2 linked regions of the Danio rerio genome follow. The protein of the gene in region 2 interacts with the protein of the main gene of each other region in a pairwise test. Links are inferred from orthologs where the notes say so. Each region holds a gene or a part of one and is shown on either strand. Other genes may lie near its edges.

Region 1 (7,887 bases), on a different chromosome or scaffold from region 2:
TACCGAAGGGTAGGAAACAATGATCATCATCATCTAAATATTACTTAATGCCTGAATATTTCTTTTGTTAATAAATCTTTTTACTTCATTGCTACAATAGTAAGCAAAGCAACATATTGAATAAGAAAAAAAGAGTAGTTCTAGATAGGGCTGTGCAATGTATCCTTTCAGCATCGATACAGTGCATCTGGAAAGTGTTCATAGTGCTTCACTTTTTCCACATTTTTTTATGTTACAGGCTTACAACCTTATTTTAAAATGGATTAAATTAATTTATTTCCTCAATTCTACACACAATAGCCCATAATGAAAATGTGAAATAAAGATTTTTTGAAATTATTGCAAATTTATAAAAAAATAAAAAAAACCTGAAAAATCACATATACATCAGTATTCACGGCCTTTGCTGTGAAGTTCTAAATTGAGCTCAGGTACATTCTGTTTCCACTGACCATTCTTAAGATGTTTCAGCAGCTTAATTGGAGTTCACCTGTGGTAAATTCAGTTGATTGGACATGATTTGAAAAGGCATACACCTGTCTCTATAAGGTCCCAGGGTTGACAGTGCATGTCAAAGCACAAACCAAGCATGAAGACAAAGGAATTGTCTGTAGACCTCCGAGACAGGATTGTCTCAAGGCACAAGGCTAAGAGAGGTTACAGAAAAACCTTACAGAAGGACAACCATCTGTGCAGCAATCCACCAATCAGGCCTGTATGGTAGAGTGGTCAGACGGAAGCCACTCCACGCCTGGAATTTGCCAAAAGGCATCTGAAGGACTCTCAGACCATAAGAAAGAAAATTCTCTGGTCTGATGAGACAAAAATGAACTCTTTGGAGTGAATGCCAGGGGTTATGTTGGAGAAAACCAGACACCGCTCATCACCAGGCTAATACCATCCCTACAGTGAAGCATGGTGGTGGCAGCATCATGCAGTGGGGATGTTTTTTAGCAGCAGGAACTGGAAGACTAATCAGGATGGTAGGAAAGATGAATGCAGCAATGTACAGAGACATCCTGAATTGAAACCTGCTTCAGAGTGCTTTGGACATCAAACCGGGGTGACGGTTCATCTTCTGGCAGGACAATGAACCAACGCACACTGCTAAAATATCTATGGAGTGGCTTTACAACAACTCTGTGAATGTCCTTGAGTGGCCCAGCCAGAGTCCAGACCTAAATCCATTTAAAGATCTCTGGAGAGATCTGAAAATGGCTGTACACCATCACTTTCTATTTAACCTGATAGAGCTTGAGAGGTACTGCAAAGAAGAATGGACAAAAATTCCCAAAGACAGTGTGCCAAGCTTGTGGCAGCATATTCAAAAAGACTTGAGGCTGTAATTGCTGCCAAATGTGCATCAACAAAGTATTGAGCAAAGGCTGAAAATACTTATGTACATGTGATTTTCCAGGTCTTTTTATTTTTAATAAGTTTGCAACACTTTCACATTGTCATTATGGGGTATTGTGTGTAGAATGAATGTTCCTAAAAACCCTAAACTACTCCTTAATACAACTGGTTTGTAAATAGTGCGATACTTAATTTAGTAATAAAAACAAATCATTAACTAAGTATGAAATTGCACATTTTAAATGTTTGTAAGTCAAGAATAGAGCATTTGTAGCTGCAGTTATAAACCGCTTACTAACGTCCATTAATGTGGAGTTAAAGGCTGATTTATACATCTGCGTCAAACGTCGGCGTATGCTACGGCGCTGATGCATAGCCCTTCACCGTGGCCATCGCCGTCACTGACGTGCACCTCTCAAAAAATTTAACTACACGTCGCAACGACGCGTAGCGTAAGCTCTGTGATTGGTCGGCTTGGTAGCGCTGACGAGTCTGGGCGGGACCGAGAGCCGCGCGAATTGCGCGAGCGATTGCTTACAAGTGTGGAGTCCCGTGAAGGAGCTCCGGATGGAAAGTTTTGTTTTGTGTTTACCTCATAGTTAAAGTTGTTGCACGTCCGCCGGTTCCTGCCTCAAAATGAGCGAGTTTGAGCCACTTGTACATCCCGGAAGTGTTCAGGAAAAGCAAAAAAGCAGAGAAGAAACTCGACACAGAGGAACATTTACACCTCACTGCCAACTAGCGTTTCGGAAGTGTTAATGCAGACCGACAGAGACAGCGCGCAGAAGTATAAATGCACAGCCACGCGCGTTGCCTGCGCCGTGGGTTACGCCGGTCACCTGACGCAGAAGTATAAATCAGGCTTAATGCTTAACAAATAATGAATTCACTAGATGCTAATGCTTAGTATATGATTCATAGTGTGCAGTTATTATAAAGTGTTACCCAATATTTCACTTGGTCCAAGATTTTTTTTTATATTTGAACTAGAAACTAGACAAAACAAAGTAAGAAAAGCAATTTTTGCTTCGTGGTTATTCGATTTCTGTAACCGAAAACTCTTAGACTCCCTAGAAAACCATCAGATAGAGCTATTGTGTGAAGCTGCATTAATAACGTATTTATCGCAGAAAAATAAAATACCGTAATATCCGATCTTTCCAGTATCATGCAGCCCTGGTTATAGATCGTTTTATAGACTATGAAAACATTTATCTTTTTTGGAGCAACATGCAATAATTAAATGTTTATGTATGGCCATAATGACTCATAGTTTTGTCTTGCAGAAATGGTTCACCCAGTCACCAGCCAGAGCCTGTCGCACAGTTAGCGGATGTGAGTGTATGTGTATTTTTTTTCTTCCTCTCTCATATCTGATATCCACTGCTCACAGTGGCATAAAATAACAATCATTTAACAAATGTATGTACATTGAGAAATGAAAGGCAAACTGCCTAGGACTTTAACCAAAATATAGATGCATCCCAGTGTTCCCTTATGTTTCTTTTCCTACATTTCTGCATTCTACATGCTATCCTTTAATTTAAATATTATGTTTGTGCTTCTTATCTGTGTTCCATTTGCATTTGTGTTTGATTTAGTTCATATTTAATAATACTGGCTTCACTCGTTAAGTAGTTGAGCTGTTTTGGGAATGAAATGGTAATTAGGTGTAGTGCTGTGTGTGTATTTGTGTATAAGGTATGCTCCATGCTTCCATCTACATTAATAATATCAGGACAACTACAGTAGTTCATCAAAAACCCTTTGTTCCATTCATAATATGGCAGCTGCTATGATTAATTCTGTAGAATGCTTTTTTGGTTGCTTTGCATGCTCATTAGCACATTTCAAAGCATGTAGTGCCCTTTGTAGCTTTTGTTAGAACTAATAGTATATAATACATAGGGCAAAATGGGTGGTATGTTAAGTATTAGGACATATATTAATTTTGTTATATTTTTCTTTCTTTTTTGTTTTGTTATCTGCATGCCACAGATATACCATGGCATTGCATTTTCTATCGTTACACAGTGTGTATGTATATATATATATATATATATATATATATATATATGTATATGTAAATATATATATATATATATATATATATATATATATATATGTATATGTAAATATATATATATATATATATATATATATATCACACTACACTGCCCAAGTCCTTAAATATTTAGTTAAATATTATTCTACTGTTTCAAAGGTTTGGGTTTTCATGTGTTTTTAAAAGAATAATAATTATATTTATTCAGAAACGATGTATCAATGGAATTAAATGCGACCAATAACGTTATAAAAGATTTCTATTTGAAATAAATGCTGTTCTTTTCAACTTTTTGGCAAAACAACACATCACAGTTTACGCTAAGCTAATAAACTTCACAGCAGCTTTTTTTAGTGATAATAAAATGTTAAAAAAGGCAGCATGGTGGCTCTGTGGTTAGCACTGTTGCTTCACAGCAAAATGGTTGCTGGTTAGGGTCACAGCTGGGTCTGTTGGCATTTCTGTGTGGAGTTTGCATGTTTTCCCCGTGTTGGCGTGGGTTTCCTCCAGGTTCTCTGGTTATCCCCACAGTCCAAGAACATGCGCTATACAGTAGGTGAATTGGGTAAGCTAAATTGGCATAGTATGTGAACAGGGTGTCCACGAGGTCTTATACTCTTAAAATGTCTTTAATATTTTGTTGTAGCTTTTAAATAATGTTAAAAAGGTCTTTAACATTTCCTATGTCCAAGTAAAGCTACCCAATCACCAATAATCCATCTCAAAATTTATATATATTTGTTTTTATTGCAAAGAGATACAAATCACAACAGCTGTTATACATGTTTACTGCAAATTCTCCTAATTTAATTCCATAAGCAGTGAAAGAAAACTAAAGCAACACATTCCTTAACAAAATCTTCCATTAATACAAAAACTATTTACTGAAGGGCCATTAGAAAAAAATAATCTTAGTCTTTAGCCCTGTATAAGTGTAAAATTTCATTCATAATGGTCCTAAAAGGGTCTTAAAAAGTTTTACATTTGACTTAAAGAAGCCTGCAGAAACCCTAGTGAGAGTGTATGGGTGTTTTCCAGTACTGGGGTTATGTCTGGAAGGGTATCCGCTGCGTAAAATCATATACCGGCATATGCTGGTACATTAGTTGGTGATTCATTCCATTGTGGCAACCCCTGATAAATAATGGACTTTTAGAATGACAATTATAAAAATGTTTTTTTGAGCACCAAATTAGACTTCTTCCTGAAGCATTTTGTTAGACAACAGTAGAGCAATGATGCAAAAATGCCTAATTCTAAGCTTTCATATCACAGTTTGCCATTAAAATTGTATTAAAAACAGTTATTGATCAAATTGCCATCATAATTAAAAGTGCAATTATGATGAGGATAACAAATGTCTTTAAAATATTTAAAAAAACCCAAACTTTTGAACAGTAGTGTGTATAAAGGGAACAGATTAGATGTAAAAACCCTTAAATGAACCTGATCTAGAGCAATTGATTGGTTTAGCATATTTTTTTCTTTAGCAAATATATTTGATATCATTTGATATGATTTTTTTCATGCCTCCTTATGCTTGTTTGTTGAAACTGACTTAAAATAGCTTAAAAATGAGATTATTTTATGTTAGCTTGTTGACCAGGGGTGTCAAAACTCAATCCTGCATTGCCGGTGTCCTGCAAAGTTTAGTTCTAATCTCAATCAGACACACCTGGGCTAGCTAATCAAACTCTTACTAGGCTTTCTAGAAACATCATTGCAGGTATGTTGGGGCAAGATGGAGCTAAAATCTGAAGGACACTAGCCCACCAGGACTGAGTTTGAGAACCCCTGTTCTAGATTGATGTTATGAGGTTTCAGCCCAGTGTTGTTTTTGTTTGTTCGTAACCTGTAAGCCCCGTTAGTCACCAGTCATGCTTCCTCATAACAAATTGATAACACTCAAGACAAATCTGAGATTTTAAAACTGAGAGACGTTCTGCCTTACAGTTGTCGTGCCATCTACTTAGAAGAGAAAGTGAAAGCAATCAGGTACATGAATTTATTTGCTAATATGAATATGTTGAATTGTGTATGTGCCAAAGGTAAAGCTTGGTGTGCAAAAGATTTCAAGTTTTATTCTTAAACATGGAAGTGGGTTCAACTCAAGGCCAGACAGTTTAAGGGGCTTTGATTGACTTCATTGGAGGGATTGTTCAATGGAAAAGGAGACAAATTATGATCCGTTTATGGTCAGTGTGCTAAGGCCTATTCTGTCCTTTCTTTTTGCCCCTGAACAAACAGAATCTGTTGCCCACGGCAACGCCACAAGAAGCACAGCAGTGGCTCCATAGAAACCGTTTTTCACCATTCTGCCGTCTCTTCACAAACTTCTCGGGTAAAGGGACGATCGGGCTTGCATAAGTGTGCATCACATCCCATACAGCTCTCACATCAGGCTTTGCTCACTCAGCTACCATACAGTGCCACATCACACTCATTAAGAAGACACATGCTCTCCAGTCTCATTCTGTTATCATAATGTGCTCAGAAAGTAATGTACTATATTCCATATTACCTTTAGTGTGGTCTGAAAAAGTCCTAGTGCGAGTGTGGTGACTGTCCTGTTCCTCAGGGGCTGATCTGCTAAAACTGACCCGAGAGGACGTCATTCAGATCTGTGGACCTGCTGATGGCATTCGGCTATTTAATGCACTTAAAGGACGGTAAGAGTTTGTCATCATACACGCCATATTTATACGTCAATAAAAAATGTAGATTATTGAAAAGAGAGAAGGATTTTGTCTGAAATTACTGTATTAAAAATACAGTAAAAACGGCAATATTAAGTTATGTTAACTTGTATTAATTGTTTATAAGTTGTATTTGTTTTTAATTTTCAGCAAATAATTCTAGCTTTATTTTCAAATTATCTTTCAGAAATCACTGTGTTGATTTGGTCCGTAGGAAACACCATATAATCTTAATTTTTAAAGAATAAAAAAATAATAATAAATAAATAAATAAATAAAACAGGCAGCGACTAAACTGTTACAACATACAGTTGATGTCAGAATTATTAGCCCCCTTTGAATTTTCTTTTCTTTCCCAAAATATTTCCCAAATTATGTTTAACAGAGCAAGGAAATTTTTACAGGATGTCTGATAATATTTTTTCCTCTGGAGAAAATGTTATTTGTTTTAAACTTATCAACTTATTAGTTGCTGTTCGGCTAGAATAAAAGAAATTATTATTTAAAAAATAAACATTTTAAGGTCAAATTATTAGCCCCTTTAAGCTATATTAGTTTTCGATAGTCTACAGAATAAACCATCGTTGTACAATAACTTGCCTAATTATCGTAACCTGCCTAGTTAAGCTAACTATTGTAGGTTAGCCTTTAAATGTCGCTTCAAGCTGTATAGAAGTGTCTTGAAAAATATCTAGTTAAATATTATTTACTGTCATCATGGCAAAGATAAAATAAATCAGTTAGTCGACTTGAGTTTTTAAAATTGTTATGTTTAGAAATGTTGAAAAAAAATCTTCTCTTTGTTAAACAGAAATTGGAGGAAAAAAAACGAGCTAATATTTCTGACTTCAACTATTCCTGTAGATTAGAATTGCTTTGAATCTTACCAGCAATGCTGCTTTGTTAACGATTAAAAAAAGAATTACACAGTACAATACTGTAAATGCATATACAGCAAGTTAATGGTGCTGAAAATGTGAATACCGTATTTTTACTGTAACTGATTTATAGTAAGTTACTGGCGAACTGCTGTCAGAAAGTTACTGTAGGTTCTGCAGGAAATCTTTTACTGTGTGTTGTTTACTTTGCAGTCTGAGTTGTTATGATAATTCCACATTTTACTGCATTAAACAGCGTGATGGATTGTAACGTGATAAAACACTAGCTAAAGAGGTCAATACAAGTTGCAATGTTTTTAATCAATATATATCGTAATAATCAGCCTTTAAAAATGTTTTTAACATTATATACTGTATATAAGGTAAAGCAAAGAAAAAGAAACTTAGGGACAAATGGGCAAAAATAAATATTTCTGTTAGGCTTTAATTGCTGCTTTCTTGTTAAAGTAATTTTGTCACTTTTTAAATTCATTTTTTTTTTTTTTTTTATATGTTCATTTTTTTCAGTAATCATTTGTTGGTTTGATGCTTAGGAAACAATATAAAATCTTAATCTTTAAATAATAAAAAAGCTTTAAAAACTTTAGCCTTGAAAGTTTTTTATTTGAAATATGTTTGTAACAGTCTAAGTGTTATACAGTGCTCAGCATATATAAGTACACCCCTCATGAATCTCTCTTTTAAATTAATATTTTTAAGAGAAAACTTTACAAAATTTTATTTGTTCAAATAGATTTGTCTTTACTGAAGCCAAATCTGGAGCTTATCTAACAAAATAACTTGCGAAAACGGTCCAAAAGTTAGTACACCCAAATTTATATGTTATCTAAAAGTATTAAATGCAAATTTAAAAAAAAGAGAGAAAAAAAAA
Region 2 (8,429 bases):
ATGTGTAATGTTAGTTGATGTGTGTTAACAGCAGTAATTGTACGTTTAAATAAATGATGATCAATTAAATATACTTTTTTTTTTAAAAATAAAGTAAAAATCAACGAGAATTACCAAAATTTTGCAAAATAGAAAATAAGTCTATCAACTAATAGGCAACATGGTGGCTAAGTGGTTAGCACTGTCGTCGTCTCACAGCAAGAAGGCTGTGGTATTTCTTGGTGTGGAGTTTGCATGTTCTCCCTGTGTTGGCGTGGGTTTCCTCTGGATGCACCAGTTTCCCCCACAGTCCAAAGACATGCGCTATAGGTGAGTTAAATCACCTGAATTGGCCATAGTGTATGAGTGTGTGTGTGTGAATGTGAGAGTGTTTGGGTGTTTCCCAGTACTGAGTTGCGGCTGAAAAGCATGCGCTGTGTAAAACATGTGCTGGAATAGTTGGAGGTTCATTTTGCTGTGGCGACCCCTGATAAATAAGGAACTAAGCTGAAAAAAAATGAATGAATGAATGAATGAATGAATGAATGAATGAATAAATGAATGAATGAATGAATGAATGAATGAATGTGTGAAATAAACAACAACAGTCCTAAAATAATCTCGGGTTCTGTATGTGAAGCATAAAATATATATAAAATAAATATATATCAAATGCATTATATTTTTTCCTTATATTCTGGATCCCAGCGGGAACATTGATGTTAAAATAACATCAAAAAGCTTGTCAAAATGCAAATCGATTTGACGTCAATTGATCTCAAAATCTTGACAAATTGACATCTAACATTGGCGTCAAAAGATTTTTTTATGTGTATTTTGACACCAAAGTTATTGTTAATTTGATGTTGTTTTGACATCAAGGCAGTTTACATGCATCGGGAATACAAAATCCAGTGTAAATTTTGTAATGTTTAATAAAAACTTTTAAATGAATAACATTTTTCCTAAATTATAATACAAAGTTATAATACAAATCCAAAGGTATTATATTTATTTATATATATGTATGCATATATATATATATATGTGTGTGTGTGTGTGTGTGTGTGTATATAGTTAAAGTCAGAATTATTAGACAGACAATTATTATGACAGTAAATAATATTTCACTAGATATTTTTCAAGACACTTCTATACAGCTTAAAGTGCCATTTAAAGGCTTAACTAGGTTAATTAGGTAAACTAGACGAGTTAGGGTAATTAGGCAAGTTATTGTATAATGAAGGTTTGTTCTGTAGATTATCAAGGAAAAAATTAGCTCAAAGGGGATAATAATTTTGTCCCTAAAACAGTGTTGAAAAAAGTTTTAAAAAACTGCTTTTTTTCTAGCCAAAATAAAACAAAAAAGACTTTTTCCAGAAGAAAAAATATCAGACATACTGTGAAAATTGTCTTGCTCTGTTAAACATCATTTGAGAAATATTTAAAAAAAAGAAGAAAAAAATTCTAAAGGGCTAATTATTCTGACTTCAACAGTATATATTTTTTTTCTCTCTCATAGTATTTTGCAATACTCTTTTTTTAATCTCTTTTTTTCCTTACACCTGTTATGTTTTTGCTTCATTCTCATTTGTGTTTTTGCAATTCTTGCAATGTTCCTGGATATAGCATATATTTGAATTTGTATTATTACTTAATGTAATGTTTCAAAGCTTATAAAAATATTTTATAAGCTTTGAAACATTACATTATTTATTTATTATATATATTATTATTTTTATAAATATAAAAAAATAAAAAAATGACATCAAGGCAGTTTACATGAATTGTAGGGTTCAGGGGTGGACTTAGTGATTTGGGGGCCTAAGCAATTCCAGGTATGTGGCCCAAGCACTGAAACTTAAAACATTCTCTCTCTCTCTCTCTCTCTCTCTCTCTCTCTCTCTCTCTCTCTCTCTCTCTCTCTCTCTCTCTCTCTCTCTCTATATATATATATATATATATATATATATATATATATATATATATTCTCTTTAGATTAGTTTTTTTAATAAATAAATAAACAGCATGTTAAAAATATATATTTAAAGTAAATTTGATGTATTTTAATATTTAAAGGAAACTTTATTTTCTTATTGTCAAATTAAATGCAATAAATTCACCAAATAAACTAAGTACATTTAATTAGCCATTTTTGTGATTAGATTTTATTACAAATTAAAAAAACATTTAAACAAAATTTATTCACAATCCATCAAACTAATCTTGTCACCATTTTTCCCATAATCTTGAATAATTGCTGTTTGTGAATTGTCGGTCATTACTTTTCACTGGGAAATGTTATTTTTGTCGAAGGTTGCTAGTTTGAGCCTCGGCTGGGTCAGTTGGCATTTCTGTGTGAAGTTTGCATGTTCTTCCCGTGTTCGTGTGGGTTTCCTCCAAAAACATGTAGTATAGGTGAATTGAAAAAGCTAAGTTGTCCGTAGTGTATGTATGTGAATGGAAGTGGGTGTTTCCCAGAGATGGGTTGCAGCTGGAAGGGCGTCTGCAGTGTAAAACAAATGCTGGATAGGTTGGCAGTTCATTCCGCTGTGGCAACCCCAGATTAATAAAGGGACTAAGCCAAAAAGAAAATGAATGAATGAATGTTCCTTTACTTTTCATTGGGAAATGTTATTTATTTGAACAGATCCTCTCTTGACAAGCTCACAGCGCTCATCATCTGACAGGTGTTTCGGCCATCGTTTGTCTTATTTCTACTTTTGTCCCCCAAATGTTCTCAAAATGTTCTTCACTTTTGCTCTACTCAGATCACTGGCAGGCTGACAGTCTTTGAACTGATCACACCTCACCTATGGGCAGTACGTTCCACTATTCATGGGGGCCCCTGGTTTTAAAGTGGGTACCACGTTCGCCTCACAGCAAAAAGATCGCTGTTTCGAGCCTCGGCTGGGTCAGTCGGCATTTCTGTGTGGAGTTTGTATGTTCTCCCCGAGTTCATGTGGGTGTTTGCCGGCTCCTCCCCCACATGTCCAAAGACACATGGTAAAGGGGAATTGGGTGAGCTAAATTGGCCGTAGGGTATGTGTGTGAATGAGTGTGTATGGATGTTTCCCAGGGATGGGTTGCAGCTGGAAGGGCATCCGCTGCGTAAAAAATGCTGGATAAGTTGGCGGTTCATTCCGCTGTGGCAAACCCAGACTAATAAAGGAACTAAGTCGAAAAGAAAACGAATGAATGATAGAAAATTTACAAGAGAGCTATACTGTATGTTGAATATAGGGTTCTTGACATTGATTGGGGCCCCCTAATTCCCTGGGGCCCTAAGCAACTGCTTACCTCGCTTATAGGTTAAATCCACCCATGGTAGGGAAAAAATTAAAAGTATAAATTTTGTAATTTTGTTCTTAAGCTTTCAAATAAATAAAACGTTTAATATATTACTTTTGGTGTTTTTAATTTGGTGGCAAAGAGCATCAGTGTGTGGATGTCAAGCGGATGGCAAGATTTGGACATCAAGTCGATTTGCAATTTGAATGCGTTTTTTGACATTATACTTGATGTCTATTGGATGTCGTTTTGACATCAAGCTGCTCACCGAGATGTTTACGCTTAGTTTTTGACTTAAAATTCAGAGTTTTAAACTCACACGAGTGGATGTCTTTCCTGAGGACCCAGAATTCAGAGTTATCCTCAAATCTGATCAAACAGCACTGCTTGACACTGTCCACCTGCAAGACGAACACATCCCAAACAACACCACACTCATTTTCACAAGTACAAGTCGCAGTTTTCAAAACTTGCTTTTTCATCCTCTCCACCGGCTCCCTCCTCCGAACAAACTTGGAGAAACTTACTCGTTTGACATTGCCGAGATATAAAAGTCCATCGCTCCACCTGGCCAAAACATCCTCTCCTTCACTGACTCCCCCCATCCTGAAGAGAGCGGGAAAGAAGAGCGCACAAAACATCCAGAGGCTTTCAAATCAAGTAGCAAACAGCAGCAGCCTAAAGGGTTAAACTCTGTGCATAGCGACAGTATACAGTACAGTAGGATAAATGATGAAGAGTCAATGCACATTGCAGTGCCACACATGATCAAAAAGAAAAAAGAAGGGGGAAAAAAACACTGGCTGCTTTATGCAACCGACCGTAATGCATATGCAGATGCCACAACAATGCATGCAAAACGCGCGGCCAGATGTGCACTAATCAATGCGCGCAACTCAGGAGAGCTGACACACATGACGGCGCGCGCACGCACATATCAATTAACACGCATGGCAGATCATACGTGCACGGGATGTACCTGTGTGGAGTGATCGGCTCTGCTGGGGTCACAGAGACGGGGAAGAGATGTCAGTCTCACATGAAACGCCTGATGGTGACCGGTGTTGTTCTGCGTCTCAATCACTGTCCCGAATAATCGGCGCGTTTTGGAGAGTCGCGGCGGATCAAACGCGCGTCAGTGCGCAACCGTCTGTCCGTCCGTCCGTCTCTCTCTCTCTCTGTCCGTCTTCATGTCTCTCGGTTTGATGCTTTCAAGCGTGTGCTCGTCAGGAGATTCAGCCCGAGAGAGACGCCATCATCATCATCTCTGCCTCTCTCTCTTTCTCTCTCGCTCTCCTTCGACTTGTTGTGACGCAGACATAAAACACAGGGAGATGGAGAGGGAGGGAGATCCGGAGAACACCTTCACATCTGTGCGACTGACCGACTTCCCACCGGACTGAAAGCCGGCACGACCACCGCCTGCGCCCCTACAGCCCGCGATAGGAGCCCGGCCGGTGCCGCTCGCGCTCACAGCCTCATTAGGGAAAGTTTGACGGGGTAATTAGTCCGGCAGAGCCACGCCGTGGACTTTCTGGAGAAAGTTTGAAAATGCCCTTGGGTGCCGGCTGGAAAAAAAAGTAAAGAAAAAAGAGGCAAAGCTGCTGCGCGCAAAAAAAGAATAGAAAAAGAAGTTTAAAAACAATGTTTTGACTTATATATATAAAAAATAAAGAAATATAACCGCAATATTATTATCATAAATTAGAAAAAGGGCTAACGCCCAAAAAAAGAAAACAGATTTTTCTTATTCCATATTAGATAATGCAGTTACAGGATTATTATGATCATAACTTAAAAATGAGTGTAATGCAAGACAATAATAATAACAATCGAAAAATACAATAAATTACCACTTTATGACGATTGCATTATTAATCAGTTTTGAATAAATTATGTTTACACTTATATTTTCATATAATTATATACCGTCATTTTATTTTGTTTATTAATAATATTTTATTACAATATAAGTTATACATTTATGAAAAACATTACTCTGGCTATTCATAATGTACATAAATTTACATTTTATTAAATTATTTAATATACATTTCTCATATTGAGTAGATCAGTAGGTTATTAATGCTCAGACATGAGTTCTTTTTAGCGCTTTTCCAAAAATGTATTAATAAAATAAATCATTAATAATTTTAATAATAATAGTGTGTGTTCACTATCTATCTATTCATTATATTATCTATCTTAAATCCTGGTTGCCTCAATTTTTAAGCTGAATCAGATTAACCTTATGAGTCCGCTGAATTTATATGTTAAACTGACTTAAAACAGCTTCTGTAACTTATGAAATTTAGTTAGAACATGATTACCTTAGTTTAATAAGTTACAATGACCTAAAATATATGCTGTCATGACATATTGATCATATTTTACAGTGTACAGTGCTCAGCATAATTTAATAATATTTGATTAATTTCTCAATGGATATAGGCAATTATTTTGGTGCATTTAAAAAAACAGATTTATTAAACATATATTTATTAAAACAATATTTTAGTCACCAAACATATTTAGAAATTGAAAGATAATACAATTAAATTCAAGCTAAATATTGCAAAGTTTCAACTCTACTTTTTTTTTTTGTATTTGTTGTTTTGATTTTTCTTCTTTTAAATTTGTATACATATACATTTGGGTGTACTAGTTTTTGGACCGTTATCGTAAGTTATTTTGTTAGATAGACTCCAGATTTGGCTTCAGTAATGTACACTCTCAGAAATAAAGGTACAAAAGCTGTCACTGGGGTGGTCCCTTAACAAAAAATACAAATCTGTACCTTAAAGGTCCATATTAATACTTCAACGGTGCATATTAGTACCTAAAAAGTACAAAAGTGTTCCTCTTAAAATTTGTAGGTACTAATACTTTTAAGGTACCAATATGGACCCTTCAAGTACAAATGTGTACCTTTTGAAAAGGTACCACCCCAGTGACAGCTCTTGTACCTTTATTTCCGAGAGTGTATATCATATGCACAAATATAATATTGCATAGCTTCCTGTTCAAAATATGAATTTAAAAGATCTGTGAGGGGCATGTCCAAAAGACCTGTGGTACAGTGTATGAGTGTGTGTGTGTGTGTGTGTGTGTGTGTGTGTGTGTGTGTGTGTGTGTGTGTGTGTGTGTGTGTGTGTGTGTGTGTGTGAGAGTGAGTGTATATGAATGTTTCCCAGTGATGGGTTGCAGCTGAAAAGGCATCTGCTGCGTAAAACATATGCTGGATAAGTTGGCGGTTCATTCCGCTGTGGCAACCCCAGATTAATAAAGGGACAAAGCCAAAAATAAATGAATGAAGGATTTGTGAGGAGTGTACTTATATATGCTGAGTACTATGTGTGTATTATTTATTGTATACACACATACTTCCTCTCATTTGTAGTTATACAACAACATCTATTGTTGTAATCAATCTAACAATCAATATTGTTGTAAATAATCTAACTACAATAAAAATAACAATTTATTTTGGCTTAAACCTTTATTAATTACACATTAATATTAATAAAGATTTTATTACAACTTTATTAATTACACATTAACAATAACAAAGGCTGTATTACAACTTTATTAATTACACATTAATATTAATAAAGGTTTAAACCCACCTTTATTAACTACACATTAATATTAATAAAGGTTTTATTACAACTTTATTAATTACACATTAATATTAATAAAGGTTTAAACCCACCTTTATTAATTACACATTAATATTAATAAAGGTTTTATTACAACTTTATTAATTACACATTAATAATATTAAAGATTTTATTACACCTTTATTAATTACACATTTACAATAACAAAGGTTGTATTACAAATTTATTAATTACCCATTAATATTAATAAAGGTTTTAACCCACCTTTATTAATTACACATTTATATTAATAAAGGTTTTATTACACCTTTATTAATTATTACACCTTTATTACATCTTTATTAATCACATACTTATACTAAAACTATATTATCAATGCACTTCTATAACTTTTTTCCAGTATGCAGGCGAAATAACCATCTAAATATCTTTTGCTTTACATTTTCATCATCTTGAAGACAAACTTTGAAGTGTGTAATTGTGTTACAACACCCACACAAGCAGCGCGCGCACACACGGTAGGTGAAATCTAGCCAAAATCTTGAGATATCAAGCACAACACTGTAAGACTCCTATTACGAGAACAGTAGTGCTGGAATGTTCAAAATGGCCCCTGGCGTGTCTTTTTTATCCTGAAAGCAGATTTTGGAAAGAGTCCAGCAGAGGGCGCAAAAGATGGGAAGTGCAAACAGAGTTTTACTGAATTACAGAATCTGCATTAAGAAGCTTTTAGATTCTTGCTAACTTAGTGATTATTCACACAAACATGAAAGCGTTGTGGGCAACACACATTTAAGATAATAAGCCATTCAGAGTGCAGGCCTGAAGAGCCTGACAGAGGTGATAAATTATTCATAAGCACCAAACCACTATTTTAATTAGTCCACTCCAGCCAAGTGAATGCATAGCTCACATTACCAATGCTTTTATTCACCATAACAACCTTTTAATAAGCACAGAAATCTCCCTCAGACACATTATTCCAGCTAATAATGATGCAAAGGTCTTGCATAACGCTTACAGCTTCCATAACAGATGGAGAATATCCTGACAAACAAAAGGTCACCCGCTTTCTTATGCAGGCATTGTTTTAAAATGGAAAATTATGAGCTACGGCATAGCTCAGTGCCTTTTGTAATTGTCAGACTTTTATTGGGCTGATAAACATGGATGAGTGCTTAATAAGAATATTAGGTTATTTTCATTTCTCGGAACACTCTCAAAACTGACAGTTTATGACTTATGCTTTGGATTATATTGCATATCTAAAATGATGCAATTAACCTTTTACTTTTTTAATTACTGTTATTAATCATTTTATTCTATCCTTTTAATTTAATTTAAAATAACATCTTTACATAATATATACTGTATATACTGTATACATATATATACACACAATATTAGTGCTCTCCCAGTAGTTTTAGCGTTCTTTCAATATAATATAACAACAACAACAACAACAACAATGAAAAATTACTATTATTACTATTATTAAATTAATAATATTACATAATTTTAATAATATTACAACAACAA

Evidence for each region.
Region 1: the proteins of phf1 (region 2) and tfcp2 interact in binary tests that used the Homo sapiens proteins (3 or more experiments, as listed by UniProt). The two-hybrid records come from large-scale screens. The link is inferred for Danio rerio from reciprocal best matches to the Homo sapiens genes PHF1 and TFCP2.

Annotation. Positions count from the first base shown.
Region 1 is NC_133198.1:36,623,379-36,631,265, reverse strand, and holds part of tfcp2 (alpha-globin transcription factor CP2), read left to right. Parts: coding exon 1-9; intron 10-2,642; coding exon 2,643-2,697; intron 2,698-5,374; coding exon 5,375-5,416; intron 5,417-5,668; coding exon 5,669-5,762; intron 5,763-5,999; coding exon 6,000-6,090; intron 6,091-7,887.
Region 2 is NC_133191.1:49,884,444-49,892,872, reverse strand, and holds the start of phf1 (PHD finger protein 1), read right to left. Parts: upstream 4,568-8,429; 5' UTR 4,250-4,567; intron 3,877-4,249; 5' UTR 3,876-3,876; coding exon 3,798-3,875; intron 3,672-3,797; coding exon 3,590-3,671; intron 1-3,589. UniProt on the Homo sapiens protein: Polycomb group (PcG) that specifically binds histone H3 trimethylated at 'Lys-36' (H3K36me3) and recruits the PRC2 complex. Involved in DNA damage response and is recruited at double-strand breaks (DSBs).